4 linked regions of the Elephas maximus indicus genome follow. The protein of the gene in region 3 interacts with the protein of the main gene of each other region in a biochemical or structural test. Links are inferred from orthologs where the notes say so. Each region holds a gene or a part of one and is shown on either strand. Other genes may lie near its edges. The genes, in order: FGFR2, KIT, PLCG1 and GAB1.

The links.
Region 1: the proteins of PLCG1 (region 3) and FGFR2 form a complex in vitro, tested with the Homo sapiens proteins (2 studies listed by BioGRID and IntAct). The link is inferred for Elephas maximus indicus from reciprocal best matches to the Homo sapiens genes PLCG1 and FGFR2.
Region 2: the proteins of PLCG1 (region 3) and KIT form a complex in vitro, tested with the Homo sapiens proteins (3 studies listed by BioGRID and IntAct, with this or other methods). The link is inferred for Elephas maximus indicus from reciprocal best matches to the Homo sapiens genes PLCG1 and KIT.
Region 4: the proteins of PLCG1 (region 3) and GAB1 form a complex in vitro, tested with the Homo sapiens proteins (2 studies listed by BioGRID and IntAct, with this or other methods). The link is inferred for Elephas maximus indicus from reciprocal best matches to the Homo sapiens genes PLCG1 and GAB1.

Annotation. Positions count from the first base shown.
Region 1 is NC_064834.1:71,983,093-71,990,502, reverse strand, and holds the start of FGFR2 (fibroblast growth factor receptor 2), read left to right. Parts: upstream 1-4,397; 5' UTR 4,398-4,990; intron 4,991-7,410. UniProt on the Homo sapiens protein: Tyrosine-protein kinase that acts as a cell-surface receptor for fibroblast growth factors and plays an essential role in the regulation of cell proliferation, differentiation, migration and apoptosis, and in the regulation of embryonic development.
Region 2 is NC_064823.1:106,781,811-106,789,752, forward strand, and holds the start of KIT (mast/stem cell growth factor receptor Kit), read right to left. Parts: upstream 3,013-7,942; 5' UTR 2,963-3,012; coding exon 2,836-2,962; intron 1-2,835. UniProt on the Homo sapiens protein: Tyrosine-protein kinase that acts as a cell-surface receptor for the cytokine KITLG/SCF and plays an essential role in the regulation of cell survival and proliferation, hematopoiesis, stem cell maintenance, gametogenesis, mast cell development, migration and function, and in melanogenesis.
Region 3 is NC_064843.1:28,313,592-28,320,935, forward strand, and holds the start of PLCG1 (1-phosphatidylinositol 4,5-bisphosphate phosphodiesterase gamma-1), read right to left. Parts: upstream 3,005-7,344; 5' UTR 2,945-3,004; intron 2,431-2,944; 5' UTR 2,321-2,430; coding exon 2,104-2,320; intron 1-2,103. UniProt on the Homo sapiens protein: Mediates the production of the second messenger molecules diacylglycerol (DAG) and inositol 1,4,5-trisphosphate (IP3). Plays an important role in the regulation of intracellular signaling cascades.
Region 4 is NC_064831.1:41,427,840-41,435,649, forward strand, and holds the start of GAB1 (GRB2-associated-binding protein 1), read right to left. Parts: upstream 3,016-7,810; 5' UTR 3,005-3,015; coding exon 2,933-3,004; intron 1-2,932. UniProt on the Homo sapiens protein: Adapter protein that plays a role in intracellular signaling cascades triggered by activated receptor-type kinases. Plays a role in FGFR1 signaling. Probably involved in signaling by the epidermal growth factor receptor (EGFR) and the insulin receptor (INSR).

The sequences.
Region 1 (7,410 bases), on a different chromosome or scaffold from region 3:
GCCGCTGGGAAGGGCAACAGAGGGAACCGAGGAGCACTGCAATGCTTTCCATTTCAACAGCCATTTGTAGGACTCAGATGGCCTGCCCAGGACATGTTTCATCATTTCATCACAGTTGAGTCTTGGGTAGGCACCGCCAGGCCTTTTGATGGGGGAGCTGTGGAATTTAGCAGCCAAAATGACTCAAGGCTATGTTAAACCCAAGCCCGTATTAATACTCAGGTATTGTGGTGCTAAGGAGCCCTGGTGGCATGGTGGTTAAAGCGCTTGGCTGCTAACTGAAAAGTCAGAGGTTCGCACCCAACAGTTACTCCGCGGGAGTAAAATGCGGCAGTCTGCTTCTGTAAAGGTTACAGCCTTGGAAACCCTACGTGGCAGCTCTACTCTGTCCTGTAGGGTTGCCATGAGTCGGAATCAACTTGACGGCAATTTTTTTTTTTCTAGATTGTGGCTCTACAGGTTAAGCTATTTCCTTTAACCCTCCCAATAGTCCTAGGAGGGTTCTCCACGAGTCAGAACTGACTGGCAGGCACACGGTGACAACAATAACAATAATCATAAGTAACGCTTACATAGCTAGCAATTCCCATGTGCCAGGCACTGTTCTGCTTGTCACCTCCTAAGGCATTTAATCCTTTTAGTAATCCTATGTCATTTACCAGGATCCCTGGTGGCGCAGTGGTTAGGCACTCGGCTGCTAACTGAAAGGTCCGCCATTCGAACCCATCAACCACTCTGTGGAGGAAAGATGTGGCAGTCTGTTTAAACAAAGGTTTACAGCCTTAGAAACACTATGGGGCAGTTCTACTCTGCCCTGCAGGGTCACTATGACCTCAAATTGACGGAACAGCAATGGGTTTTTAATGCAATTTATCAGTATCAGTTGCTGGGGAGTCAGTTCCAATGTGTGGCTACCCCTTGTGTGTCAGAGTAGAACTGTGCTCCGTAGGGTTTTCAATAGCTGTGACCTTTCAGAAGAAGAGTGCCAGGCCTTTCTTCTGAAGTGCCTCTGGGCAGACTTGAACCTTCGGCCTTTCCGTTAGCAGCAGAGCAATCACATTGACCGTGTGCACCACCCAGGTTGATCCCCCTGTGAGATAGCTGCCATTCTTTTGATCAATTTACAGACAAGAAAACAGAAGACTCAGAGATCGTAACTTGCCCAAAGTCACACAGCTATTGAGTGACCAGATCCACAACTTGACTGTGGAATCAAAGCCTTGTATCCCCTCAATTTAGGGTAGCAATGCTCCCTCACCTGAAGGTGAGGAGATACTTCCAGAAGGACTTTCTCTCCAGGTAAGTCTCAGCTTTGAAATTCAGGCCCAATTCTAAGTTCAGAATCATTGGTGAGGTTCAGTGGTGGATCCATGATTTTGCTTCCGTTAAATGCCACAGGCTCCCTGAAAATGGGTGCTTGCTGTCTGGGGATTCGGCCTCTCCCCTCACCTCCAGGAGTAAGTACTCTTAGCATGGTCCTTAGACTATTCAGTACTCATTCCTACTGCTTTGTCTACGCTATGCACATTATTGACCTTTTCCTGACCTAACTTTTCTGTAGGGCGAAGGAACAGCCACCCATCCAAAAAACATATTATGAAAAGAAAAATCCCAAATCTTTGAAGAAGAAAGGCCTGTGGCAGTGAAGGTCTCCACCCCTTCCTCTTTTCTCTTCCCATAACCAACGGGCTTGAAGCACAATTTGTTTCTAGAAACTTCTGGGGCATCGGAGTTCTAGTGTCCTCATTTTTCTTCCTTCCCATTGATGTATCATTACTAGAGTAAAAAAAAGAAGGGCGTCTCGAGGGCTTTTTGGGGGGGAAAAAAAAAGAGTGCCTACTGAAGACATTTTGTAAAGGGGGGAAAATTGGGAAGAAAAGAAGCCTCAGTAGGGGGTGGAGGGCAGTGAATGTGGCCTTGTCTGATGGTTCTTTCAGCTGAAACCTGGTGCTGGCGCTCCTTGTTCAGTTCAAACTGTCACCTTTAGTTCTTGATGGCTTTTCTGCCCTCGTCCCTGAACCTCAACAGATTGGGGCTTATTTACCTATTCACACTCCGCCGTGGTAGCTCATTAATAGGCTTATTAGCAACACCATTCATGGGAGGCCATTGACAAAAGGGGCTCCAGCCACTCAAGAGGGAAGAGAAAAAACTGTAAAGAGATTATTTTCTCATTCAGAAGCCTCGCTGGTGTGAAAGCTTTCCTAGACCCTCTGAGGTCACTTGAAGTCTAAATTTGATGACAGAATTGATTAAAAAAAAAAAATAGTAATAAAACATTCCAAACATGCTTCTACTTTTCTCAAAACTGAAGCGTTTGCTGCAGTGGGCTTGTGGCTTCACTCACTTAAAAAGGAGCACTCTTGAGGGAATAAGGGGCTTTTGATGGATGGGTGTCTTTTCATCCCTATGAAGAATAAATTCTGGAAACTGCGTCTGGATGTTAAAGAAGGTGTTCTTATTTGTTATTTTCAGCGGAAGGCTTCCTTCCCATTCAGAGAACATAAAGCTATTGATGAATGAGAGATACGGACTTGGGTTTCCTGCACCATTAATTTATGTGAGAATGTGTGAACAGCATTTTCGGTGGCTGATGGATACCGTACAGGATGAGACAGGAATCTGCCCTGAGACACTCGGGTTTCCCGTTGGTGGGGAACATAAAGATGTAAGTGACGACCTCCCAGCAGACTGACATTCAGAGGTGACCCTAGGTCTGAGAGCTTGAAAACATTTTGGTATGGACAGAACAACCTAGATGGGAATGAGTGGCTGAGGGACACCTGGCTGAGGCGTCATTGAATTCAAAGATTCAGGGACTGATCCAGGTTAGAGGACTTGATTAAAAGCATATCCGTCTGGGGCAGTTCTACTCTGTCCTATAGGGTCGCTATGAGTCGGAATCGACTCGACAGCAGCGGGTTTTTTGTTTCCTCCCTCTCAGCAATGGGCTGATAATTCCGTCTGAGACTCAGACTCTAGTTTTTGCTGCCAAATTTCCAAAGTATAATTTCAGAGCTGTTTGCCTCAATCAGTGGTTAAGAGCTCTGCCTGCTAACCAAAAAGTCGGCAGTTCGAATCTACCAGTCACTCCTTGGATACCCTACAGGGCAGTTCTACTCTACAGGGTTGCTATGAGTTGGAATCGCCTCACATGGCCATGGGTTTAGTTTTTGGTTTTGCCTGAATCATTTAATGGATTTGCACTCTTTCCTGGCTTTTAAGTAATTTGTATGAAAGGTTTCTACGATGTATTGCAAATAAAAAAAGATTTCCTAATAAGGTGGCACCTTGGAAAAATATTTTCATAAATGTTGCAAAGAATACAGTGTTCAGGAACTACGTGCAACTCTGTTTCTAAATGCAGGCAAAGTCGGTTTTCCGGGTCAGCGTGGCACTCACTGCTCCGTTTGTCTGTCTTTAGGCCTCAGAAGCCTTCTTAAGTCACTTCTTGGTTTAACGACCTTTCCTAAAGAAAGATAATTAAGGTTTTTTTATCTGTATTGCCTTGAACTTAGGCAGACTGCCTAGGAGCTGGCTAAGTGAGGAGGGAGAGAAAGTACAGTAAAAAAGAAATGAGCCTGTGGACACAGCTTAGTGAAAAAGGTAGAGTGGAAATAGGAACTTGAAAGCGTATCAGATACAACTCCCTGGTTTTGCAGTCAGAGAATCTAAGATCCACAGAAAAGAACTGATTTTCTGAAGGTCCAAAAGCTATTTGTGGCAGAGTTGACTTTTTAGAATTTTAAAAATGTTTTAGTAACCCAAATATACATTACAAAACAATTTGTTGTTGTCGCAGTTTTTCACTTTTTTAAAAAGGGCCACGTTCAAAGTCAGCTCTGCCTGGAACCAGCTGTGTGACCCTGGGCAAATTACTTAACCTCTCTGATGTTCAGTTTCCTTTCCAGAAATTGGGAATATTGCTCTGCAGAGGGGTTGTGCCGATTAAACAGAATAACTTATTCAGAACTCCTGGCACATGGTGGGGCCTCCATAAAATATTAGGTTTTCCCCCTCACTTCTATGGTATTGAAGGCCAGGGGAAAAAAAAAAAGCAACCCCCTACAAAATTTCCAAGTTGTCTCACCTTCTTCAAAAGTTTCATTTGCATTAAATTTCTCCTCCCAATAGCACGCCTACGCATTTCAAAGTTCCTTTAAGGGTAGAGCAGGTAATCTGTGATTTGTTTTCTGACTTGAAACAAAACAACGTCACCCAGGCACCTAGTAAAACGTTGGTCAGTTGACCTCCCAAGGGAAGGGAAGGAGGCGGTGGCGCAGGTTGGGGGAGACCGGCCTTGTTACTGGAGGATAGAGTTGCATCTCCCCGTCCAGATCGCGCCCGGGCCCCTTGCCTGCCCGGCCGGGGTCTCCCGGCCGCTCCAAGGCGTCGGGGGCCGCTCAGGGCTCGGCGCGGCCCCAGTGCGCCGCGCTGATTGGCAGAGCTGGCGCCGCCGTCCAGGAAACGGCTCGGGTTTCAGCGGGGGCGTGACCCGCCGGAGGAGGCGGTGGCGCGGGCGGCGGCGGCGGCGGTGGAGAGCGCAGAGCGCCGCGGAGAGCTGAGCGGCGGCGGGTGCGGAGCGCGGAGCGGGCGGCGGCCGCACAAAGCTCGGGGCCGCGGGGCTGCATGCGGCGGACCCGGCCTGGCGCCGCAACTCCTCTCCAGGCCGGCGGGGCCCGGAGGCCGCAGCTCCCGTGCGCGCTCTCCCCTCTCGCAAGTGGCGAGCAAAGTTTGGTGGCGGAGACGCCGAGCCGGAGTCCTTTCTTCCTCTCGCTCCCCAAACCCGAGCGCAGCCGCGGGCGTCATGCCCGCGCTACTCCGCAGCCCCGGGTGCGCGTGAAGCCCAAGCCCCTGCACTGCCAAGGATCCAAGGACGACACTCGGCTGGAGTTTCCACCGAGGGACCCCCGAGCTCGGCGCTCCCTCCATCCCGACCCACGCCGGCCGCGGGGACAGGACCGATCGCGGAGCCGCGTTGCCATTCAAGGTAATCGCTGAGCGGGACAGAGCGGGACGCCTCGCCAGCGGGACAGGGGCGTCGTGGGGGCCCGGGACGCCGGGCCACTGACCTCTGGGGGAAGGCGCGGGAGAATGCCACTGGGAAGAGGGCCCCTGGCCTCCCTCTTGCTGCTTAGGTGATGGGGAAGGTGGGTGCGTGCTCGCGGCTGGCGTTTGGGAAGTCCTGCCTCCACCACCCCCGTCCAGATGCTCACATCTGCTTCTTGGGTTGACACCCCTTCTCCGTCAAATTCCGCTGGCTCAGCCCACCGTTCCTCCGACCCCTGAGCGGGTGGGCGGCGGGGCTGGTTGCTGGTGGCACAGCCCCGCAGGCGGGGCGCCCTGCGGGGCACCTTTGGGGTGCTTCATCCCTGGGCCTGGGGAGCGCCCGTCCCATTCCATCTAAGCTCCGTCGGTGGACCCTTACCCGGGAGGGAGCCGCTGGGGTGGGACCGCCGACATCCCGGTTGCCATCCCCTAGTGATGGCGATGCCGGGTGGGGGGCATCTTTGGGGAGGAGCACTGTTCGGGTTCCCAGATTTCGTAGTACGCGGCCGCCGCCGGCGCTGGAGCCCGGGCAGGCGGCGAGGGCTGGAGGGAGCGCGGCGCCCGGGGCTAGGGGGCGGGCTGCACCGACTTTTCCCGGCTCGCCCGCCCTGCAGCCGCTCGCAGATGTCGAAAGCGCCGGCGAGTTCTGACTTGCGCGCTCATTCTTCCAGAGGCGGGGCTCGCTGGGGAGCCGGCCGCGGGCTCTGCGAGGCGCCGGCCCGACCACTGCGGCCCGCGGGGCCGAGCGCAGGCTGCGCTCTGCGGAACGGAGCCGGCCCGGGCGGACAAGCCACCGCGCGCCGCGCAGACTGCCCGCTCGCAAACTCCTCCAGCCCATCCTTCTTGCCCGATTCAATGAACCTACTCTTCCCGGCGAACCTGCTTTCAAACTCGGGGCACCCATTATGTGTTTGGTGTGAAATGCTATCAACATTTAAAACCCCATTGTCCCCCTGGTCCCAAATCCCTGTAAATCTTCCACCGGTCTCGACTCATTTTCATCTGAAAAGCCTGTTTAGTTTGAATAGAAAAGCAATCAGGCGCCCCTCTCCCAGGAATGTCAATTAAAATGCAGATTTTTTCAGCTTTTTAGCGCGGAGGACTGGGAAGAAAAACGGGATATTCTAGCAAATTGATGAAAGAAATGCTACCATGAAGTGGGGTGGTGATGGTGAGGAGTACCCCCAAACTGCCCTCAAGATCTCGGTGGCTTGCAAGTGTTCACAGGGCGGGGACTGTTGTCCTGGGTCCACCCGTATTTATTTTTTGCGATTTCAGTGTGTTGAGGAATTTCCCCCCCGGACTTGACACCTTGGCTCCTGCCCTACTCAGCTCTGGGGTGTAGGGGGAGCAGTAAGGAGGCTTTGAGCCGGGAGGTGCGTGTGCCCCTTGGGGCAGCGGGGCATCCCCAACCTGGTGGAGCAGTGTCGACTTTCTAGATGTGAAATCTACCCAGGAGCCAAGCACCCAAGAGCCCAGTGTGGGTGACCAGCAGTGGACAGAAGGGCCAGTCCACTAAGCCGGGCCCTGGCATTGGCCGTCCTTCTTGGAGGGCAGGGGTTTGGGACTGTTGTGGGAAGTTTGGGAGCTGAGCGCTGGCCTGGGGACTACTCCCGTGGTTCCTTTCTCCCCAGTGGTCTCTTTGCCTGTCTTTGGGGCCGGCTCGTGCTGAGGGGAGAATCGACCGGGAGAGCGGGTGGCCGCGAAGACCCATCCGTCAGAGGGAGAGTGACAACTCCTCCCGCGTGCAGGCTGAGAAGACAGTTCCCTTTCAAGGGGAAAAATAAACACGCCGGGGCTTTCACTGGGGCTCAGGCTCCAGGAAGGATTATGGTATTGTAGGCAGGAAACTGGATTGTGGCCGCCAGCGGCATGCTGGGCCTGTGTTCCCAACTCCGAGCTCGGGACCTAATTATCCCGCGTAGGGGGCCGCTCTGTATTTTTGTCCACTCGGGTGCGGAGCTGCTCGGACCTGCCGCCCCAGGCCGCCACTTTGTCGGGATTTGGGGAGGGGCTCCTGTGGGGCCTGGACCTGGAACTGCGGAAGTGCAGGGTTCTGGTGGAAACATGGGCTGAGTGAATGGCTTTAGGTTTGGTGGAGGGCACTGCCAACCTTTCCCTGCCCAGAGCTAAGGAGACTTCTCGGAGGGAGGGGCAGATGGGCAAGGCGGCTGGGGGAGCAACCGGAGCGCGGGCTCCTGTTAGGAGTCAAGAGTGTGGACAAACTTGTGTGAGAGGCAGAACATTCCCATGCGTTCTGGACTTGCTTAGTAAATCATTGAGTGTTTGTGTGCCTGCCTCCCACGTGCATGTAGGAATAGATGCAGAGTTATCTTTGGAGGCCTTAACTTTAAGAGGAAA
Region 2 (7,942 bases), on a different chromosome or scaffold from region 3:
TGATTATTTTGGGCAAGTGTTTTGTCCTGAGCCAGTTTCTTCAGCTGTAGGTGCTGGGGGTGTAATAGTACTGCCTCCTGGACTTGCTGAGAGGATTGGAAATGACAGGCAAAGCTCCCAGCACAGTGCCTGGCACACATTTTCTAATCAAAGAGCAACAACTATTTTATAACACACATGCACGGTGGTTAAGAGCTTGGTGGCTGGTTAAAGGTTGGCAGTTCAAATTCACCAGCTGTCCCTTGGAAACCCTACGGGGCAGTTCTACTCTGTCCTATAGGGTCGCTATAAGCCAGAACCGACTCAAGGGCAGCAAGTTTATGTAATATGAAATTTAGGGCACATTAGAAAACGTGCTTTGTAGAAGCCCAGTATATATGATTTATAAAGTCATAGGAAAAAATGAGTGGATGGGTAGGAAGGAGAATGGGATTAAATGAGTTATCTGGGATCGCTCCATAAAACTGTCATATTATTTTCAGCAGGATAATAATCCAGCATGCCCTGTGTCCAGCTGCTGGCGATGACTCTGGCTTCACACCTGCAGGAACAAGGGGATGGTATGATTCACTATTCCTTCCAGGTTCATCCTGCCTGACATAGGAGCTGTAAATACTAGAGGAGGGAGGGGGTGGCATTAGAGAGTTGGCACCTCTCCTAGCTGTCAGAGGCAAACTGTAGGGCAGCAGAGGAGTGGGTAGCGTAAACTATAAGGGCAGACAGGTAGGTCACACCAAGCGGCCCTAGTGACCAGAAGCAGCAAAGAAATTTCCAGACAGCTGGAAGGGGTCAGTGAGAGAGTTGAGAAAGATGCTCAGTTGACTATCAGAACTCTGGAGGAGAATTTTGGACTCAAAGGAACCTTCATGAGGCGGATGCCTCATTATACTTTCAGAGGAAACTGGGATCCCCAAGAATTTCAGCATCCTGCCCAAGGGCACACAGCCAATGAATGGCAGAGAAAACGAACCAGATTGGAAGTCCAAGGCTTTGTCACTACACCACAGTGCTCCCCAGGAGACACAGACTTTAAAATTCCCTTTGCCAAACATCTGCTGGATGAAGCGGGAGAATTATGGGGAAGAAGGAAACAATCGATTCATTTAATTAAAAAAAAAAGGGAAATGTTTAATGAGGCCTGTCTTTCTTGGAACCGTACTCGGGTCTAGTTCACATACCCTATCTGAAATCAAAAAATAAAATAAGACACAAGAACGTAACAACCGCATACGTCGTTTTAGCTAGGCAGTCAATTCCAAGGCATTGGAACCCTGACTCATGATCCCTCCTACTTCACAGGGGTCCAGATGGAAGGCCTCTCCTCCCCGACAGGAAAGCCTTCACAATGCCTTTCGGACCGGGAGGGGGAAGCTGCGTCTTGAGACTTTATGGAGAAACGACCGGTAGTCGACAGAGCCCACCATAGTTCATTGCGATGCTTTCTCTGGAGCCCTTGTATTCCAGTTCAGACTCACTTTCTATCCTTACATCATCAGGGTAATCTTAAATGATTTAAAAAAAAAAAAAAATGACCTGAGGGAGAAAAGGGCTTCAGGGGGTTACCCAGGCGACCCGCAAGGGCCGCGTGTACCAGCGACACCCAGAAAAAAAGGAGTCAGGAAGCGGTCCAGGAATCTGCAAATCCTTCCCCACCTTAAGACCCAAGTTCCCGCGCGGATATAACTGGATTTCCATAACAGCTTTAAGAACCAAGGAGAATTTGCAGAAAGTTCCACTCCATCTCCCACCCCCCACCTCAGGCTGCTCTGAAGTATTAATACTACGTGGGAAGGGGTGCAGCGAATCTCAAAATTCCCGAAGAAAACTGGGAGCTGCGATCACAGGTCGCCGAGACGAGGGGCTTCCAGGGCCCCGCCAGCCTGTTGGGACACTGCCTTGGGCGCGCGCGGCTACTGGGGTCGTGGATCGCAGTGCCCCAGCGCGCTGTCCCTGTCTCCCCGGGAGCCGGCGGCAAACGCAGCCTCCAGCCGCTCCGGCGCGCGTGGAAGGATGAAACGGCATCGCGGCAAAAAGGGGAGAGCCTCCGGCACGGGATTTACAAAAGCAAAAAGTCTGCAACCTAGCGGCTGCTTGCTATACGCCCTGCCCAAGTTGACCCTGTCGTCGCCACCTCCACGCACCCTGGGTCCGGCCCCACGGCCGCACGCCGCGCGCCTCGCTTGCAAAAGCATAACCAGGGAGCCGGGAAGCACAGCCGCCTCCGACTCGTCTCCACCGGTCTCGCCGCTAGTAGAGGCGGTAGCGCGTTGGTTCCTATCTCTGGGCAGGCACAAAGAGCGCCCGTGGTTGGAAAGCAGCAGCCACAGAGCAAAAAAAGGCTTTCGAACTTTACCCTACGCAAGGCTGAGAACCTGCCGGCCGGCCCTCTGGGGTACCGGTCACACGCACGCAACTTTTAACAAAAGGAAGCTGTGGCCGCACCTCGCACGGTAGAGATAACGCGCTCGGTGCGAACCCCTGACCGCCCGCCTCTACCACCCGCGAACCCTCGGCACAAAAGAAATCCCAAACTCGCATGCAGTTCGGCTGCCCTCAGCCTGCAACCTCGCTCACCCTCAGCCCCCTCGCTGCCCTCATTTCTGGTTCCCAGCTCAGTGGCCCCAGCACCAGGGACTGGGGGCTTCTTGCGCAGGTGAGCAAGGCAGGGCGCAGGAGAGTCCCCGGGGACGCCTCGAATCTTCCCGCAGGCTAAAACGCCTGGCACCTGAAAGGCCAACAGCCACCTCTCCCGACACACCCCAGTATGTTCAGCCCTTCGTCGGGCATAGGCTGCCCTGGGGGGCGCGGTCCGGGGTGTCCGCCGTGCTCTCCCACCTGTCTGGACGCGGAGCAGGAGAAGCAGGACGCAGAGAAAATCCCAGGCGCCGCGAGCGCCTCTCATCGCGGTGGTTGCGCTGGAACCTGAGCTCTGTTCCACGTTCCTGCTCTTGCCCAAGTGCATTCAGCGCGGCAAAGCCGAGCCCCCAGAGCCTGAGCGCGGAGAAGCAGCCCCTCCTCCCAGTGCCCTCCCCCTGCGAGCCGGCCACGCCCCTCCTCGCCTCCCCTCCTCCCGCCCGCATGGGTTGCGCTCCCTTCTAGCGTCGCTGGCCCCAACCTCTTTCGACTGGCTAATCCCTGGGGGCTGTGTCCAAGGGGCGGGGGAGGGCACTCCGGCCCTCGCAGCCAGGGTCTCGACCCCCGAGCCCTACATCTCTCCACCTCTCCTCCTCTGTAATGTGGTAGAGGCTCGGGAGGCAGTTCCTGGACGAGGGTGTGCGTTTTGTGAAGCCGAACACCAGCGCACTTTAGGGCAAGGGCTCACCACCTGCCAGGTGTTCCCCAAACAATAAAGGTTGGCCGCCAGCCTTCGTGCATACTCATGAGGGAGGGCGTGGACACTTCTGGTGGTGGAAGTGGTTCCGGGACGGGAGCGGGGTGGTTAGTAAATTGGACCCCGACATTGTTCCCCATTCCTGTTAGACAAGTGGGACCTAGCGTGGCGCCTGGCGTCGCGGTAAAAGGCTAAAAGGGAGTTTAGGTAATTATGCTCAGTTTCTCCACCTGCTCCGTTACCTGTAAGAGCATAGTTGGTTCCCTATTGGTCGGCGTAGCCTCCACCCAACAACCCCCTGCTCAGACTTTTCTGAAGACTGCGGCCTTGGAGTGGGGAAGGGCGCCTTGCGAAGTTTGCTCAGGTAACCTGATTTTTTAAACCCACTTGCACCAATCCTTGTGCAAAGCCTTTTGGGTGCCTTTTTTTTTTTTTTTTTTTCTATGCAGTTTCTCTGCGTCTGTATCACGACAGTTACAGGGCTGAGGATCCCTGCGTTCTTCTTAGCTGCTCCAGCCCGTGCCAGGCTCAAAATGATAGTAAAATGATACTTTTAACCCAGGTCCCTTTGCATAGAAAGTGCTTCGCCCACCTGCTTATGGTGGCGCCCCTGAATGAAATGTAACAACAATATCTGTATAGAGTTTTATAATTCTTCCCCATGCTGAATATTACTTCATGCTCACAATAACAACTTTATAAGGTAGCTAGAGCAGATATCTTTATTATTTTATTTCTAAAAGTCGCCTTAGATCACACAGCTAATAAAGGGGAGACCAGGATTGGAACCCTAATCTTAAAACTGACTCCAGGTTACGATGAGCTTTCCCTATGCCTTCTGATGAACTAGACAAACATCCTCCCCCCACTTTCCCCAGAGCTTAAGAATGGAAAATAAATGGGAAGTGCCCATCAGAAAAAAGCTATAGAACAATGTAGGTACACCTAGACTCCTCTCTAAAGTATCATCCAAAATTTATAATTGCCCAGATCCCCACTTCATTTAATGTTGAAAGCTCTCCTGTTTGATGCTGACATAACCTAAATTGGCTTAAATTAATCACTTAAAAATTATCACTACTAGAGGATGATCAAATGATCAATATGTATAATTGCTTCTCTTTAAATTTATTTATGTATTCATTCAACAAACATTTATTGTTGTCCACTGCAAAGCAGTGGTTAAGATCTGGGCTGCTAACCTAATAGCGATTTGAACCTACCAGCAGCTCTGAAGGAAAAAAGACCTGGCGATCTGCTCCCATAAAGATTGTTGCTGTTGTCGTTAGGCACCTTCGAGTCAGTTCCGACTCATAGTGACTCTATGTACAACAGAACTAAACGCTGCCCAGTCCTGCGCCATAACTCACAAACCTTGCTATGTTTGAGCCCATTGCTACAGCCACTGTGTCAATGCATTTTGTTGAGGGTCTAGAAAATCCTATGGGGCAGTTTTCTGTCATATAGGGTCTCTATGAGTCATAGTCGATTCTACAACACACAACAAAAACAACCGTGAAACAAAAGTTAAGCACGTGGCTGCTAACCCAAAGGTCGGCAGTTTGAACCCACCCAGCAGCTCTAGGGGAGAAAGACCTGGCGATCTGCTTCCATAAAGATTACAGCCTCGGAAACCCTATGGGACAGTTGTACTCTGTCACATGGGACTGCTATGAGTTGAAATCAACTAGATAGCACCTAACAAAAACACCTGTGAGGCAGGGAGAAGCTAGGTACCAGGAGTCCAAAAAAAACAAAACCAATCGCCAACTCATGCGACCATATAGGACAGAACAGAACTGCCCCCATAGGGTTTCCAAGGCTGTAAATCTTTAAGGAAACAGACTGCCACATCCTTCTCCTACAATGTGGCAGGTGGGTTCTAACCACCCACTTTCTAGTTAGCAGCTGAGTTCTTAGCCACTTTGCCACCAGGGCTCCTTCAAGGTAGCAGGAGTACAATAGTTAATAGCCAGATGTGGGCCTGCCCTCACAGTCATTATCATTATATGTGGGAACCCACATCCCAGTCTCCTAGCAAATGGTTTAAGTCACACAGCTGTGGGAGAACTGAAACTCAGAAGGTCTCTGTTTGTGCTCTGGCCCATCAGACCATACTTTTTTCTTAAGATGACAGATCAAAGATATCACTTGAGGCAATCATAAATTTCCAGGATCTTGATTTATTACTCAAATCCATTTTGTAAGAGAAAAAAAATTACTATGAGTTAAAATATCAACATTGTGCCTGAGAGAGAAAATTTATAATTTTTTTCTTCAATCAACTGATATTGGAGAGTACAAGTCTTCAGAAGAGTGGGTAAAAAGAGACCATATTGCAATTTAATTCTAGGAAGGAAACTTCCATCAGGGGGAAAAAAAAAATCGGAATAAGGGGATTATATAATGCTAGAATGTCATCTGTATTCATTTATTTAACAAACATTTACTGAAAACCTGTTGCCATCGAGTCAGAACTGCCCCATAGAGTTTCCAAGGAGCACCTGGTGGATTTGAACTGCTGACCTTGTGGTTAGCAGGTGTATCTTTTAACCTATATGCCACCAGGGTTTCCCAGTAGGCACTAGGCCTCCAAAAATGAGTAAGACAAAATCCCTACTTAGAGGAATTCACAGTCCAGCAGGAAAAACAAACATCCAAATAAGAAACTATAATATCTGCTAACAGGGCTCTTACTCAGCCGTTACACATCAATTTAGCCATATTGGTTAGTAGAATATTGAAATCCTTCTGTACTGATTGGAAAAAAGCCACTGCCTTAAGCACTTCCTAAGTGTCCCTTCACCCCTACCTCTCCCCTGAGATGCCCTCAATCTCCTTAGATCTAGGCTTTGTGCAGGGCACAGCAGACAACCTCCAGTACCTGGGCCTTTGGGTTTGTTAGCTGTGTACTGAAATCAGACATGTATAACTACAGCGAGTGAACAGCTATGGGGTTGAACTATACTATAGATCAGCACTGTTCAGTGGACCATTTGTGATGATGCAAATATTCTGTATCTTATATAGGATGTATTTTATAGTTTTCATAATTGTGTCAATGAGGACATTTGATTACAACTTGTAGAAACCCAGCTCTAGCTGGCATAAGCAAACAAAGAACCCTAAAATCTACTGGCTCTTATAACTGGACAGTCCAGGAACAGTGCTAGTTCTAGACATTCCTAGATCCAGGAACTCAGAGTCGGCAGGACTTGAGGGTGGTGTGTGTGTGTGTACAGACACATACATACATTTCTCCATCTTTCAACAATACTTTCTTTGTTGTTTAATTGTCTCTTGTGCACTCGGGCAGCTCTAGGTTTCAGCTCTAATACCAGTGGAAGCAGAACTTCTCTGCCCCATCAACAGTTCCTATAAAAACTCTAGAGCCCTGGTGGCACAGTGGTTAAGAGCTATGGCTGCTAACCAAGAGGTCAGCAGGTCGAGTCCACCAGCTGCTCCTTGGAAACCTTATGCAGCAGTTCTACTCTGTCCTATAAGGTTGCTGTGAGTCAGAATCTACTCACTGCAAAGGTTTATAAAAGCACTAAAACTGGGTCTTGCTGGCCTGGTTTAAGTCACATGCACATTGAAAACCAGTCAAGGAGGCCAGAGGGACAAGATATAATGCTTGGCCAGGCTTGGGTCACATGTCTACCCCGGAAATGTTGGGGGTTATTGTGGATTGAATTATGTCCCCCAAAAAATGTGTGTATCAGTTTGGTTGGACCATGATTCCCGGTATTGTGTGATTTTCCTATATGTTGTAAATCCTGCCTCTGTGATGTTAATGAGGGAGGATGGCCGGCAGTTGTGTCAGTGAGGCAGGACTCAATCTGCAAGATTGCATTGTGTCTTGAGGCAATCTCTTGAGATATAAAAGAGAGAAGTGCACAGAGAGCCAGGGGGACCTCATACCATCAAGAAAGCAGTACTGGGAGTAGATCGCGTCCTTCGGACCCAGGGTCCCTGCATGGAGAAGCTCCTAGTCAAAGGGAAGACTGATGAGAAGGCCGACAGAGGAAGAAAGGCCTCCTCTAGAGCTGACACCCTAAATTTGGACTTTTAGCGTACTTTACTGTGAGGAAATAAACTGTTAAAGCCATCCACTTGTGGTATTTTTGTTATAGCAGCACTAGATAACTAAGACAGAGCTCTACTTCATCCATACCACTCACTCTAAGAATGGGGAAAGGTGTGTCCTCCAAGAAAGAGTGAAGTACTCTCGCCAGAAGAAGGAGGAATGATGCTGGGCAACAGAACATGTTCACTATAATTTCTAACTTGAAAAATGTAAATGTTATGTTTCTTATTGTAAAAGTAAAAATGCTTGTTGTAGAAAATTTGAAAAGTGCCAGAAATTATAAAGAACAAAAAACCAAAAATTGCCTAAGATAATAATCACTGAAGAGTTCATTTTGGTATGTTTCTAATCTTTTTTCTTTGCTTATATATGACCTTTTTTTTTCTTTACATAATTTAAGATTTTACTATATTCGCTAGTTTTCTATCTGGCTTTTTCACTAAACATCACATAAGCATTGCCCAAATTATTAAAAAAATTTGGAAAACAATTTTAATGGCAGTATCATGTTCAATTGTATGGAT
Region 3 (7,344 bases):
CCCCTGCTTTCTGTTTGGGCCCCAATTTACAAACAAGAAAGTCACACCCAGTAGTCAGATGTGCAAAACTCCAAATACTTTCCTACAGAAACACTGTTCTTTGTAGTAGGTGAGTGGGTGGGTGGGTTGGGGCAAAACAAAGTCATTTCCTCCGTTTTTCAGGGTAGCGATTTAGGGGAAATGTGAACTTGGTCCCCCATCCTCCCTTCCTGCACCCTCAGGCTCTCTTGCATCCATACTCTACCTCCCAGAACCTGGGAGGACAGTGTAGACTATTATTGTTATTGTTATTAGTAACAACTCACATTTACTACAGTTACAATGTGTCAGGCACTGTGCTAGATGTTTTAAATCAATTATCTCATTTAATTCCAGAGAAACCATATACGATGGACATATTGCTATCTCCCTTTTTACAGATGAGGAAACTAAGGCTCAGAGAAGGTAACTGGCAGGGGAACGCAAAACTAGCTTTGAGCTTCAAACCGGGCATTGCAATCACTCTGCTACATTTAACTGCCCGCTGGTCACTCGTATGGTTTAAAATGCAGCCTGTTACCCAGGAGATCTCTACCTGGGAACCTCCAGCCAGTGCCACCAATTCAACACAGCACAGGGAACATCACAGAAGCATGGAGTCTGATGCCTGAGGGATGTTCCCAGGGCTATCCCTGTTCTTTGCTGTGTCTGTCCTTCCTCCACTTTGGAATCTAGTCTTCCAAATCATTAAAAAAAAAAAAAAAAAAAAAGAGTTCCCAATGGCTGACAGGGCAGATGGAGGCATAAGGGAAGAGGCCACCACTTCTTAGTTCAAACGGCTATGTCAGATCTGGAGTTTTTAGTTGAGGTTGGCTCCGTCACCACACTTTCCTTCCTCCCAATCTCCTAAAACATCTAAACGCATGTACACCATACTCAGAAGATCTATCAGGGCCTCCCTTGGGGGTGTCACTTCCTGACCCCTTCCTCCACCCGGACTTAGTTTTGAGCCCCGATCTCTCCAACAACAGCCTCTGGGGGGTCCTGGCAGGAAGCAACCCACGGTCTACAGTTGTAGACACATCATCTCTTCACACTTGGAGGCGGGGGAATGGAGGGCTGAGCTGAGTGTGCACGGGCACCCGTTAAGTGGGGTAACACTCTGAAAGATGTGGGGTTTCTCGAAATCCCCCACCTCCCTCCTCTCACCAGAGACCTGATGAAAAGGAGCCAAGCCCAGGTTTAAGGATGGCAAAGAGGCAGGAAACCAAGAGTAGCCCTTCCCCGTTCCCTGCTTCCACCGGACACAGGATGAGTGACACAAAGGGCTAGTTCCCAACCTGGCTGAGCACTACTGAGATGAGTACCTGACACCACTGCACTCAGGGAACGTGCTCCCAAGGGCAAGGGAAACTGGCCCCTTTACCAAAAGTCTGTGTCCTGGCAGTGGGTTCTACTGACCCACACAAGCCTCCAAAACTCAGCTTCAGGACAAAAGAACCAGCAGAAAAGAGCGGCCACGGACTTCTCTCAGGCGTTTTCAAACCAAACAAGACCACCTTCCTCCCTCTTCCCAAGAGGGTGATGAGTAGGCCTGGCTCTGCCCCCCAACCAGGCCGACCCCAACATCTGCAGAAGTTCTACTTAAGGAACCCCACGGTGCCTCTTTCAAACAAGAGCCCAGCCAGAGGGCCCAGAGAGTTTCCTAAAGCCCGCTCTTTCTGGAGAGAGTGGTGGGCGGTGACCGTCTGCTCGGGTCCCAGGTTTTCCGCGGGGTGGGGGACGCCGCCTTGCCGCCCCTCGCTGCGCCAACACCGCCCCCCTGGGCTGGGGGGCCCGCTGCCTGCGCCGCTGGGCTGCGACTCGCTAGGATTTTTAGGCCTCCGGGCAAAGAGCCTGGAACACTCCCCCCAGCTGGGGGAGGGGGTGTCCTGTCAGGTGACCGAGGCCCGGATGCCCCCCGCCCCCGGTGACCACCGGAGACGCGGCGGGGGCGGGGGCGGGGCGGGGGCTGGAGGAAGGCCCGAAAGTTTGCCCGAGTCCCGCGAGCTGCGTCGGGGCGCGCGGGGCCGGGCCGGACCTGGCCACCCCGCGCGCGCCGGGCCGGGGAGGGGGCGCACTTACTGGCCCCCTCGATCTTGTCCGCGCCGCGGCTCCACGTGATCTGCCGCGTCTCCAGCTTGACCTGGAAAGTCTTCCGCTCCGGCCGCTGCGACTTCTTGGAGTAGAACAAAGTCATGACGGTGCCCACCTCGAGGCTGCGGCAGAGGTGCAGCACCTCGGCGTCCGAGGGCGCGCCGGGCCCGCAGCCATTGGCGCAGGGGGACGCGACGCCGGCCATGGCTCCGGCTCTGGGGGCGGCGGCGGCGGCGGCGCAGGCCCGGCGGCCCGGAGCCGGAGGTGGCGGCGGCCGAGGCGGCTGAGGCGGCCGGCGAGCGGGACCCGAGGCTCCTGCGGGCGGAGACGGGGGCGGGGCCGGAGGCGGGGCGGGGCCTGAGGCGGGGCGGGGCGGCTCGTGCAGGCCCCGCCCCGCCCGCGCGCCGGGAACAAAGGCGCCCGCGCGCCCGTGGGGAGGACCCCCGCCCGCCGCGCCTGCGCCCCGCGACCCCCGGGCAGGCCCCAGGCGGGGGCGGGGCTCGAGGGCCGCGGGGGCGCGCGCCGCCCCCCGTCAGTCCGCCGGCTCCTCGGCCCCGCAGAGCGCCCCGCGCGGCGCCGGACACAGCCTGCCCGCCGCGGCCGGCCCCGGCACGCTGGCGGCCCCGCCCACAGGCTGCAGGCCCCGCGCCGGCCGTCAGTCGCACCCGCGCGGGAGGCCGCCCAGCCCGCTGTCCCGCACAGGCCCAACCGCAGCCCTTTCCTCAGCCCCGCGCCCCACCCCCGCGCCCCAAGCACCGCCCGCGCGACGCCGCGTTAGAGCTGTGGGGATGTCGAGCGCCCCCCGGCCCGCCCGGCCTAGCCCAGTTACCTGGGCGGGCTGCCCGGCGGAGGGAGCCAGGCCAAGCCGGGCCGCCTTACACCCGCGGCGGCGGCGGCGGCGGCGGCGGCGGCGGCGGCGGCGACGGCGGCGGAGGCGGGTTCTCCGCGCGCCCTCCCGGGGGGGCGGGGCGGAGCCGCCTGCAGATTGGCCGGCAGGCACTGATGGACAGCAGGCATGTCCCGCCCCCTCCCCTCTGTCCGCGCGGGGCTGGTCCGCAGGCCGCTGTTAAGACCGGCAGTCCCACATCTGTCCCGCCCCTGCGGCCAGTGTGGCGCTCAAGGGTACCCCCATTTGGACAAGTCCCCCGGGCCTAGCATCCCCGGCAGGGCCTGTGGTCCCGCGGCCGCACTGTCCAGAGGCCTGCGTCTGTCCCTCAACGACTACAGCTCGTCCTACCCCCCGCTCCGTCCCAGCGGGACAGGTCCCCGGTCAGAGTCAGGGCGAGGGCCCAGGTCCTGCCTGAGCTCTGGCCTTCCCGCCGGACTCTACTCGTTTTCCACCTCCCTCTCTAGCTGCTCCCTGTTGGCCTCAGAAGCTTCTCTTTCTGTAGGCTCAAGTCTGAGTCAGTTCCCAAGGTACCTGACTTTTCCCAGGGCTCCAACCACCACCCAGACACCGTGACATCAAATCTGTATCTCTGCTGCTCTCCAGGGCCAAGCATCCCACTGCCTGCCCCACATCTCTCAACACAGGCACCTCACCTTCCAAATTGCTCTTCCACAGTGGTCACTTTCTCAGAAAATGGCAGTAAACTCTTCTGAGTTGCTTTGGCCAAAACCTTGGTGACATCCTTGATCCCTCCTTCTGTGTCAACCCCACATCAATCCATCAGCAAGTCCTGTTCGCTCTTCCCTCAGATTTCTCTCCACTCCACCCACAAGCCCAAGCCACCATCTTTCTCTCCTATTTTACCCATTGATCTTGCATGCTTCTACTCTTGCCCTCTGCCTCTATTCTCCATAGATTAATCTTTAAGTTATATCATCCTCCTCTATATCTGACCTAAAACCCCTGGATTTCCCATTGGACTTAAAATCCACACCCCCTACTTGGCCTGGAATGTCTCCTATGATCTGTCCCCACTTTGTCTCACCGTCCCTTTTCACTCTCCATTCTCCAGCCACAGTGCTTTTTGTGATTATTTGAAGAACTCACACTGTCTTCCTAAAGCTGTTCCCGAGACCACCACCTCCTTCTCTGCACTTTAGCTGCCACTGTCACAGAATGCCACCAGAACTGAGGACACATACGGTCACAGTAGAGTCTCTCATACAGATATTGAGCGAGGCAGATGGTCAGCAGCCGGGCAGAGCAGGTCAACTTACTGCACTTCAGAGTGTGAGGCCCAGCATACACAGCTGATGCCAGAGAGAGATCCAGGTTACCTGGAATTTGTGAGACTATAAACCTATACTGCAATTTGTGAGTATGTGAGGTTGTGTGCTCAGGCAATCCACAGTCGTACTCCAATAGCTGAGCTGGGTAGGTCTGGGCTGCCAGGTCTTGCAGAAACAGTAACTCTTTTGCAGTAGTGTGTGTTTAATTCCCTCGAGCACGGCCACTAAGAAGCTCAGAATTCCAGCATGAAGTTGGGAAGCTTTGTCCTAATAGGTTCACCTAGCTTCAGCACCTAAGGGGAGATGCGGCAGCTGAGATGGACTGCCACCTAGCTATGGGCCTTTAAAGTGGAAGGCAGGGAACTAAAGCTGACCCAGTGCCTTGCACATGTGGTCACACCTAATCTCACAACTACCCTCTAACTGGGGACTTTTGTCCCCATTTTACTGATAAGGAGACTGAGAGAAGGTCTGCAATTTGCCCAGAGAAAACCATGTAACAAGTGGGGTACTTTGCATTTGAACCCAAGTTTGCCTGATTCCATGCGTTTTCTGCCTCCCAAGAGAGCCATTGGCTTAATTAGGCCCTGGTGGTTAGTAGTCAGTGGGCATGGAGGCTAGCTGGCTAATCAGTGTGGGTAAGGAGGCATGCCCACACCGGCCTTAAGCACAGGGTACCCCACAGAACATGGGTGCTCACAGAGTATGGCTTGGCTTGCTTGGTCTTAATGAGGTCCTGCCGACTTGACGGCACTGGGTGGGCCCCTGAATGCAGTCCCTGAGTTTTCCTGTGCCAGGCACTGAGGCCACTAGCTGACGGATGGGGAAGGACTCAACCACAACAGCCCTCCAGGAGTTCAGACATTAAACGAATACTTTATCACATAAGGGCAATATATGAGGGCTACAGAGGAAAAGGACGGGAGACTATGGAATAAAACATTAAAGAGACCTACTTCAGACCAAGTAGATAGGGAAGACCTCTTTAGGACTCAGTGGAAGTCTAAAGGACGTGAGCTGATGGCCCGATGAATTATTAGGGTGTGTTGGGGGAAAGTGTTTTCCAGACAGAGGGAACAGCACGTACAAAGGCCCAGAGGCCAGAAAGAACATGGTGAGTTTAAAAATAGAAAGAAGGCTAGAGTCTAGTGAATGAGGGAGAGTGTCGGGGATGAGGAGACCAGGAAGAAAGGTGGGAGCCAAATGGGGCTCCTCCATGCCTATCCAGTTCTTGTCCATTTTTCCAGGAGGCCCCTGTGCTGACTCGGGCAACCTGTGGGCTGTTATGTGCCGTTGAGTTGGTTCCAACTCATAGAGACTCTGTAGGACACAGTAGAACTTCCCCATAGGGTTTCCAAGGAGCGGCTGGTGGATTGGAACTGCTGACCTTTTGGTCAGCAGCCGAGCTCTTAACCACTACACCACCAGGGTTCTTGTGGGCTGTGATATGCCTTAAATATCTGGTTCTCTATTTTCTGGGAGCTTCCCAAACGTGAAACCCAGGCTTCCCTGCTCTTGCTTTCGCCTCTGGAGTTTGGCCCATGGGGGCTCCACAAATCTCTGCCAACAGATCATGTTTTCGATCTGCTGCCAGGGCCCCATTTCATTTCCTCCTGGGACTTCTGGGCCAGCACCCCAGGACTCAGCTGCCTCCCTCCACCAAAGGAGGTTCTGGAAAAGCAGGGCGCAGCGCAGAGGGCGTGGCCGGTATGGGCTTCTCCCAGCTCAGCATATATATATGGGTGCGTGGGTGTTACTGGCAGTATATGCAGTTGTGCCTGCTGGGAGGGAACAGCCCCAGCACCCACACAGGCACACGGCTCTGACATCACCAGGCTAGACCTGCTTGGTCCTATTTCTGTGAACACTCATGCTTCAACATGCCCTGCCTACACCAATGTCTGTGTCCGGAGTCTGGGGAGGAGTCCTAGCCCAGCTGCCCTTCTGTCTTGTGAACTTGGCCTCACAGGTATTTGTTTTACTTAACACTCCGAATAGTACTTGATGCAAAGCAAGCACCACATAACTGCATTACTCACATTGGTTTATTTACTCCTCATTACAACCCTTTAAATACTAATGTCCCCGTGTCACAAACGAGAAAACACAGAGGCACAGAGAGGTTAAGAGACATGCCCAAGGTCACACAGCTAATAATTCAAAGCCAGGCACTCTGGCTCTAGTCAATGCTATGTTGCCTCCCATGTAATATGGACATTTTATTGTATCCTCCTTTCTTTCCCTAACACTACCTGATCTGTTTTCTATTTATAGTTTTGTTAAATGCTGCTGCAGGTTGAGTTCTTCTAGAAGCTGGCTCTATGACAGAGGTTAGTGTGCCAAATGTTTATTAAAGAGTGCCCTTGGGATCAACACTGTGGAAGGGAGAGGAAGGAAACAGGAGTGGGCAGAGGGAGAAATTAAGCTGTAACGTAAGTCTGACAACAGTGAGCCAACCCCACAGGGAGCCTTTATTGTTGTAGTTGTCGAGTTGATTCCAACTCATGTAGCTCAGCCTCAGTCACTGGATGTGGACTATCCTGGGAAAAGCACAACCTTGGCAAGACAGCTCTCTGCAGCTGAGGTGATCTTAGAGGAGCTAACAGCTAAAGGTTATCTGCTGACAGCTTTCCCAGCAGTTGGGGCAACAAGTCCTTGCTTGAACAGCGATCTGGGTGGTACATTGCTATGCCCACCACAAATGTATTATTTTCTAGCCCTTTAAAAGTTGAGCATTTAAAAGAAAGGACAAAAATACTACAGTACAGAAATTGGATATGAGATCGTAAGAAGGAAGAAGATAACCATATAGGTTAACATGACTACTGTGAGAATCAGATGTGGCTTGAGCTTCCTGGCAGCCAAGGCAAAAAGTTTTCTCTTCCTTGGGGGAGAAAAATTTTCCTGCGGTTAAGTTATAAAACCAGTTTCTCGAATGGACATTTATTTGGTTGAACTAGTGGAGAATGTTTTCAACAGATAAACAGCAAACACTAAAGAGTCTTCATTTGTCTGTTCCTTGTAATGACTTTGGGAGGGAATAATACGAAA
Region 4 (7,810 bases), on a different chromosome or scaffold from region 3:
CTGAGATATCTTTTCACAGCAAATCCATTCATTAAAAACCATTATAAAGCAACGTTTTGCCCACTGGGTGGCCAACAATGTTTCCTTTCATCCAGAAAATAAAGATTCTACGTGAAAAGAGAACAGGCATAGGCAATGCATATATACATAATCAACGGCACTGGGTTTGGTTTTTTGGTTTTTGGGTATCATTAATGGTCAAAAGCTGCTTTAGCAAAAACAATCTAAATTGGATAAAAAAAAATTGGATACCTAAGCCAAAAGATCAACAATAATCTGGGAATGGCAACATCTTCTGGGCAACCAATTTCACAGCTAAAAAATGAGACAAGCCTCACTTAAACACTCTGCCTCATCCTCTTAGCTACCTCAGCTGAGAGCCACCCTGCCCACCGTCTTCCTGGGCCATCTTAGCACATTCCACTACTACGTAAAGAAAATACACTAGTGCTCCACTGGGCAAGAAAAAAAAAAACAGCCTTTCCCCAGCTGTTAGGGGTATATTCTTCCCTCCGCTGAGGGAAAACACAAATATGAGTCCACTGTCTCTCTAGTCTTCCCATGGTTCCAGACTACATTGAACTTGTTCCTTGAAACACATCTACAAAGCATCCATACCACTCAACCTGGGCACATAATCATAAACTACTTTGCACTATTGGTTCATTTTTCACATATGCCTGTCTTCCTGAAGACTCGAAAAGCTGCTTCAAGGCAAACTCCAGGTCTGACATTTCTTTTGCACACCACATCTGCTCTACAGCCCACTTCCTCCTGGCATTCTCAACTAATATCCACAGACTCATAGAAAGTTATAATCGGAAAGAACCTTTAGGGATGATTTAGTCCAAGCCCCGTATTTGAAATGAACTAGATGAGCCTCATTAACCTTTTACAGCTCAGTGAGTCAGGTAGACCTGGGTTCAAATCCTGCCTCTGGCATGTTCTGGTTGGATAGATTGTTTTCTCACCTGTGAAACAGAGATAATACCTACCTCATAAAATAAGGGTCAAAAAAGAAAAAAATAAAAATAAAATATATACACACACACATTTGAACCTCCTTTTTTTTGTCCTTGTTAAGACACAATCTTTTTGGTTGATTTTCCTTCTGGTTTATACTACATTACATTGCAAGCCTAAGAGGCAGGACTCCCCCCACCCGCCTATATTTTCTAACCTTATGGTACCTAATAGAGTACTTAGCGTCTTTCGAAAAAGCCATAACTAACATGTGAAAGAATGCATTAAACAAACCTCTATTACCAATACCTAGTTCCCCAAGAACCTAATCACTAGACTACTAGTGGAAAGGTTGGCAGTTGGAACCCACTCAAAGGCACCTAGGAAGATAGGCCTGGCTATCTACTTCCAAAAGGTCACAGCCCTGAAACCCCCGTGGAGCAGTTCTACTCTGCAAGCACAGGGTCATGACGATCAGAATCAACTCTGTGGCAACTAACAACAGCTGCATGTCTTTCCTAAATTGTGTCTTCTCGAAACTAACATACCTCCAGCTCCCTACCCACCCCCCTCTCACACACACCTATCCCTTTAGAACCAAGAGCTGAAAAAACCACTGCCTCTCCCCTTATTTTTGGAATAAAGCTAGTATCTCTACCAGGATATGCAGACAAACAGTTGACAGGTGGAGTGACAGAGTTTGGAAGGATTCAAAATCTCTGGAGAACTTTCTTAGGATTTATGGCATCGATCCCTGAAATGAGAATTACTTGTCTATAACAAATTCTGGCAAAAGTAAACCAGAAACTCACTGGTGAGCTGTCAGTGAAGTTAAATATTGCACTTCAGTCTGTTCCATGAAAGCAAACAGTGACTAATACGATTAACTTCAGCTCTAATACTGGATGGAGATATCCTCCAACAAGAAACAGGTTCCAGTAGCACAAGTGTCAGTCCCAGGTAGAAAATTTATATTTGAGTGAACATAAATACTGCTTTTTAAAATTTTACTAGAAAAAGTATTTGCTCCGTACGCCAGCATAAAAGTGTTCTCTCTTTCCTTTGCAGGAGGCAGCGACAAAAAAAAAAAAAAAAAAAAAAAATGGGGGCGGGGAGATCTCAGACGCCTGAAGAGGACATAGATTTCCACTAAAGTTGGTTCTTTCAAGGAATATTTTTTCCAACAGCATCGTGTATCAATTACACAAATGCCATTTAAGCCACGCTGGTGCCCTGGGAAAGATTGGCAACACACAGAAATTCCTTCTGGCTTCAGCTGTCCCCTCCTGCGGGGCTTGACAGCGCGTTCAAGACGCCCAAACACCAGCCAGCAGGCTCCCCCCAGTGCCTTCCTCTCGCAGCAAACCGCCAGGGCTCTCGGGCCAAACTCCAATGTCCCTCAATTCAAAACCGCGAAAATGTGAACCCTGCTAAGCAAACGGTAGGGCGCGTTAAGAACTTTTTCTTTTTGCGCAGACATGAGATGCTTGTCTCCGATACCAATTTCTTAGCTCCACCGTCCCTTCCCCGAAACCCACCTCCAAGGGAAGTGAAGAAAGAGCGTGGACCAAAGAGGGCTGGCGGCCCCTACGGTTTTCCTAGTGCCACCACCCCCATAATTAGGTGCAGAAAGATAAAAAGAAAGGAGAATGCGCCTCTCCCCGCCTTACCCCACCCCACAACTGCTAGAAGCAATAGTAAAAACATGCAGCGGGAGTTCATCTGGAAACCCTGGGCCCTCCTATGGGGCGGTAAGGCCCGAAATGCAGGCCGTCCGGAATCTGGAGGAAGAAAGTTGCCAGGCGAAGTGAAGTGTAAGCCAGGGCGTGAGTGTACAGCACCCGGTCCCCAGCCTGATGGGAGAAGGGGCCGAGGGTAAAAGAGATGCGGATTAAAAAGCCCCGCGCGCGAGCAGCTGCAGCCGCCAGCCAGCTCGGGACCGGGTGCCGCTGGCAGAGCCTCTACTTACATAACGCTTCAACTTTTTCTCCGGCGGGGACTTGCGGAGCCACCCCGAGCAGACCACTTCGCCACCGCTCATGATGCACACCTCTCCGGCCCTGAGCGGGGCAGCTGAGGGGCGGGCAGGCGCGCTCCCGATACAGCCGACGCCTGCGGGGCGCACAACGGCGAGGTCCTAGCTCTCCTGGCCGCGCACCCTCCGCGGACAGGACAGGCGAGCTCCCAACGCGCGCTCGGCCCGCTCTTGCGCGGGGCTCCCGGCGTCCGAGCGTCTCGCTGGCAGCTCCACAGATGTGAGCAGAAGCGGGATGCTCCGCCGCTGCCGACCGCACTGGGCAGCGGCTGCCGCGGGGCCGAGGGCGCCCCGGCCTCTCCTTAATGCGCCCGCCTCGCCACCAGGCGCGCCGTCCCACCGGCCGCCTCAGCAGCGCTCAGGCTCAACTGGGCCGGCGTCTTCGCGGGACTCTATCCGGACAAGGAGCCAGCGCCTCGGTGCCTTGCGCTCCGCCCCCTCGGGACAGAACCTCCCCAGAGAGCCTTCCGAAACAGACACCGCTGCACGCACACAATGCTCCGCGCGGTGCCTACTCCCGCTCGCCCGCTCTCGGTTTCGGTGAGCCCTGCGCAATCCAGTCCTTCGTCCTCCTCGAGGGAGGGCGGCTCGCTTCTCTGCGGCGCCCGGGAAGCCGGGAGGAAAGGGAAAGCTGAGAGGGTCCCGCGTGCAGCGGGTGCAGGCAAGGTCCCGGGACGCGGAGGGAGCCGCCCAGTCGGCGGCGATGCGCGGCGCGTCGACGAGGTGCGGGCGCGGAGAGGGCGCAGGTCCCGCCAGAGGGTGGGTCCGTTCTCGCCGCCGCCGATGAGGGCGGGGAACGGCGGAGGAATGAGGCGCCCGGCTGCGGGGAGGGATCCCACTGTCCCGTCCCCTCACGCTCCTCCCCCGCCACCTCCCCCACCCTGGGGTGCGCGGCAGGTTCTGAGCGGCCACGGGTCCCGGCCCGATCCCTCCCTCTCTTGGCCTCCGGGCTGCTGTTCCTCCCTTTTCTCCTTCTCCTCCCAGTTCGGGCCCGGCTCCGGTTTCTGCCTAGACTTTCTCTGAAACTCGGCCGGAGCGTTCCAGCCAAAACAACAAGGGCTGGAGGAGGAGGAGGAGGAGAACGAGGGAGGGAGCGAACTAAGGAGGGAGGGAGCCGGAGTCCGAGAGGCACCCTGGGATCTGTAGTTCGGAACGCGAGAGCAGAATCTCGGCCGCCCGGCGATGGTGTCGGTGGGAGCCCCCAGAGTACCCCTCGCCTGGGAAGGCGGCGGAGGCCGGGCGAGGGCAACCCCGGCGGGGCTCGGGCGCGGGGAGGGGCGGGGAACGTTAACATGTTCAGTGCCGGGCTTACCACCTTGAGCTAGCCCGGGTGTCAGTTCCGAGTGCGTACTGTGCTCCAGACCGGGAGTTTCGGGGTTTTCCGTGTTTGACTGTCCACAAAGCCAAAGAGGCCAGACAGAGACCCCGGCGTCGTAGGGAGGCGGCGACTCCGCGGGTTCCCGCCGCGAGAGACCGAAGAGCCGGGTCTAGGACGGCTGCATGGCGTCCTGGGGACCGCCAGGACTGGGGTGGGAGAGTCCCTGGCGGCGCCGCGAAAGTGGTGGGAGCACTTCATGGAGCCAAAGAATTTGAAGTCCTTCGCTCACCCCATTTGTTGTCAGCTTCTTCCACTTGTATTTGGTTAAAATCAACCCCTGCCCGGTATGTTTGGCTAGAAAAGGGAAAATTACTGAATGTTCTGTTCTACTTGCCTGTTTGTGTGTTTTACAATTATTTTACCTGGGCTTGAGTGTAACATGATCCTGTAATGTAATACATTTTCCAATTTATTTACGAAAAATAAAGCCCCAAAACAAATTTTAGAAGGCTGTAGTTGTAATTTTCCGTCAAGTCGATTTGGACTCACGGCAACCCCATGTGTGCAGAGTAAGACTGTGCTCCTTAGAATTTTCAAGGCTGTGACCTTTTCAAACTAGAGAGCTTCTGCTTCTGAGTGGATTCGAACCACCTCTGAGCGGGTTTGAGCTGCCAACCTTTCCTTTAAGGTAATAGTGAAGCCCTGGGTGGTATAGGATAGTAAACAAATAAAAGGTCAACATAAGTACAGATTGTGATAAATGTGCTATGAAGGAAATAAACACAGCAAGGTAAAGAATAACAGGTGGGACTAGGTCTTGAGGAGGTATTTAGCCAGAGATTTGAAAGATGCTCTAAAGAAAGAGGAGAATCAGAATTGGTTTATTGAAGGATAAAAGAGTTAACCATAGAGAGAACTGGAGAAAGAATAAGCAAAGAATTACTTCGTACAACCAAAAAATCCAAACCAGTTGCCGGCGCATTGATTCTGACTTATGTCGACCCCTTCCTTGTGTGACGCAGCAGAACTGTGCTCCATAGAGTTTTCCATGGCTAATTTTTTCAGATGTAGAGGCATGGGGGAGGAGGCACACCAGGTGACACTGTCAGAGGGAATGTCACCAAAATGACTATAAAAAATCTCATTAGTTACAACAACAGAAACATTTTTCATAAGCCCAGCTTACATGTGTTAATATACCTAGGAGGCTAAAACTATGCTAATTTATTTTTTGAACAGTCTAATGCGATCCCATCAGAGCTGTCGTTATTAGCCAATGGCAATGACACTGCAAATCACGCTGGTTTCATCTACACATGCAGCAAGCACACGATATTGTTTTTGTTGCTCCCAGTGTTTTTATAGTCGCCGATTTTGCCAAATTTTCTGGTGTTTTAGCTACAATATTGTGGTAATTAGTGTTTGTGAACCTCTATCAATAACTTTTTTGAGAATGAAGTAGTAATTAAATGAAAAGGAGTCATATATGAGAATTATGATTCATAAGTAACATTAGTACAAAAAACATTACTAAGGCTTCTGTATGATCTGGTACAGGAGGAGCTCCCTGGGGGGTGGGTGATACCTGAGTTACTGCACTGGGTGACACCAGCCCTAGCGACACCGCTGATCACCAGGCTTTTCTTCTCTCGCACCTCTGAATGGACTGGAACCACCAGCCTTTTGGTTTACAGTCACAGCTACACACATTAACTGTTTACACCACCCACGGACTCCTGGTTACATCATAGTCCAAATGGAGCCCCCTGGGCACCTGTAAGTGTGGCAAAGAAAGACTCTGAAGAAAGAGCAGAGAGGCTGCTGAATTGTGCAAGCCCCAGACTCCTAAACTGGGGCACTGATAAATGACACCCCCATTACACAAGCGTAAATGGCTTCATCATTCAGTAACTCTCCATTAAGTTAATATCTCCATTACTGTAACCCGTATCAGAAAAATACTATGAAAATAGAATTAATTTAGCAACCTAGTAAGTAAATTATCGGAAAATAAAGCTGGTATTCTAAACCTATCTTCAGCTTACATAAAGAGCTTAGTATGTAGAAAAAATAAAATCAGAAGAGGTCTGGTTCCATTGAGGTTTAGAGCCCTTCATCTTTTTTTTTTTATATATAATTTTTATTGTGCTTTAAGTGATAGTTTACAAATCAAGTCAGTCTCTCACACAAAAACCCATATACACCTTGCTACCCACTCCAGATTACTCTCCCCCTAATAAGACAGCCCGCTCTCTCCCTCCACTCTCTCTTTTCATGTCCATTTCGCCAGCTTCTAACCCCCTCCACCCTCTCATCTCCCCTCCAGGCAGGAGATGCCAACATAGTCTCAAGTGTCCACCTGATCCAAGAAGCTCACTCCTCACCAGCATCCCTCTCCAACCCATTGTCCAGTCCAATCCATGTCTGAGCCCTTCATCTTTTGACAGGTACTTTGAGTATCACAAGGGCTTGGTTTTTAGATCTGGATTCATTTTTCAGGTCATCGATTTTTCAAATCATGACCTTGAGCAAATTACACGGTGTATCCGAGCTTCAGTTTCCCAATATGTGAAATGGAATAATAATACTGATATTGCAGAATTTTTGTGAAAATTAGCAATGATAGACTATTAAATGCCTGGCACATATATAGATGTTAGAGGGCTTCAGTGTTTGTTGTTGCTTTTCTTAAACCTTAAGGCTTTTTAGAACACAAGTGGGTGTAGTTTTCACCATGGCAGCCAATGAGCCAAAGCCATTCTTAAGTAAATGAGTACAGATCTTGCCACAAGTCCTCCAAACAAAAATAAATCATTGCATTTGTTTTTCACTTCTCCATAGGCAGTGTGTATATACACTGAGTCAAAAGTATTTACGAATTACATTCTAAGGCTAATCTGTCATTGAGTCATAACTGTTGGCTTTAGCAAATTTGCTACTCCCTGTTATCAAGTTCTTTTTAATAAGAAAATTTTAGTATGTCTTCCACTGTTTGGGAAACCCTGGTGGCATAGTGGTTAAGAACTGCAGCTGTTAACCAAAAGGTTGGCAGTTTTAATCCACCAGGCACTCCTTGGAAACTCTATGGGGCGGTTCTGCTCTGTCCTATAGGGCCGCTATGAGTCGGAATCAACTCAACAGCAGTGGGTGGGTCCACTGTTTAGCATTTGGCTATTCCAATATTTTTTTCCCTTATTTCAAATAAGTAGTCAATTAACTCATTTCCGTATAAGAAATCTTTAAACATTTTTCCCCTATCTTTTACTGTGATGTTCTAAGCTGATATTTCTACAGAACAAATAAGGGCTGAAGATATGTATCCATGTACGTATTTTAGAAATGTTCATTATTTTTACATTATTTGCCATTTTTAGATTATCTCTTTGTCTTAGTCATCTAGTGCTGCTATAACAGAAATACCACAAGTGGATGGCTTTAACGAAGAGAAGTTTATTTTCTCACAGTAAACTAGGCTAAAGTCCAAATTCATTCAG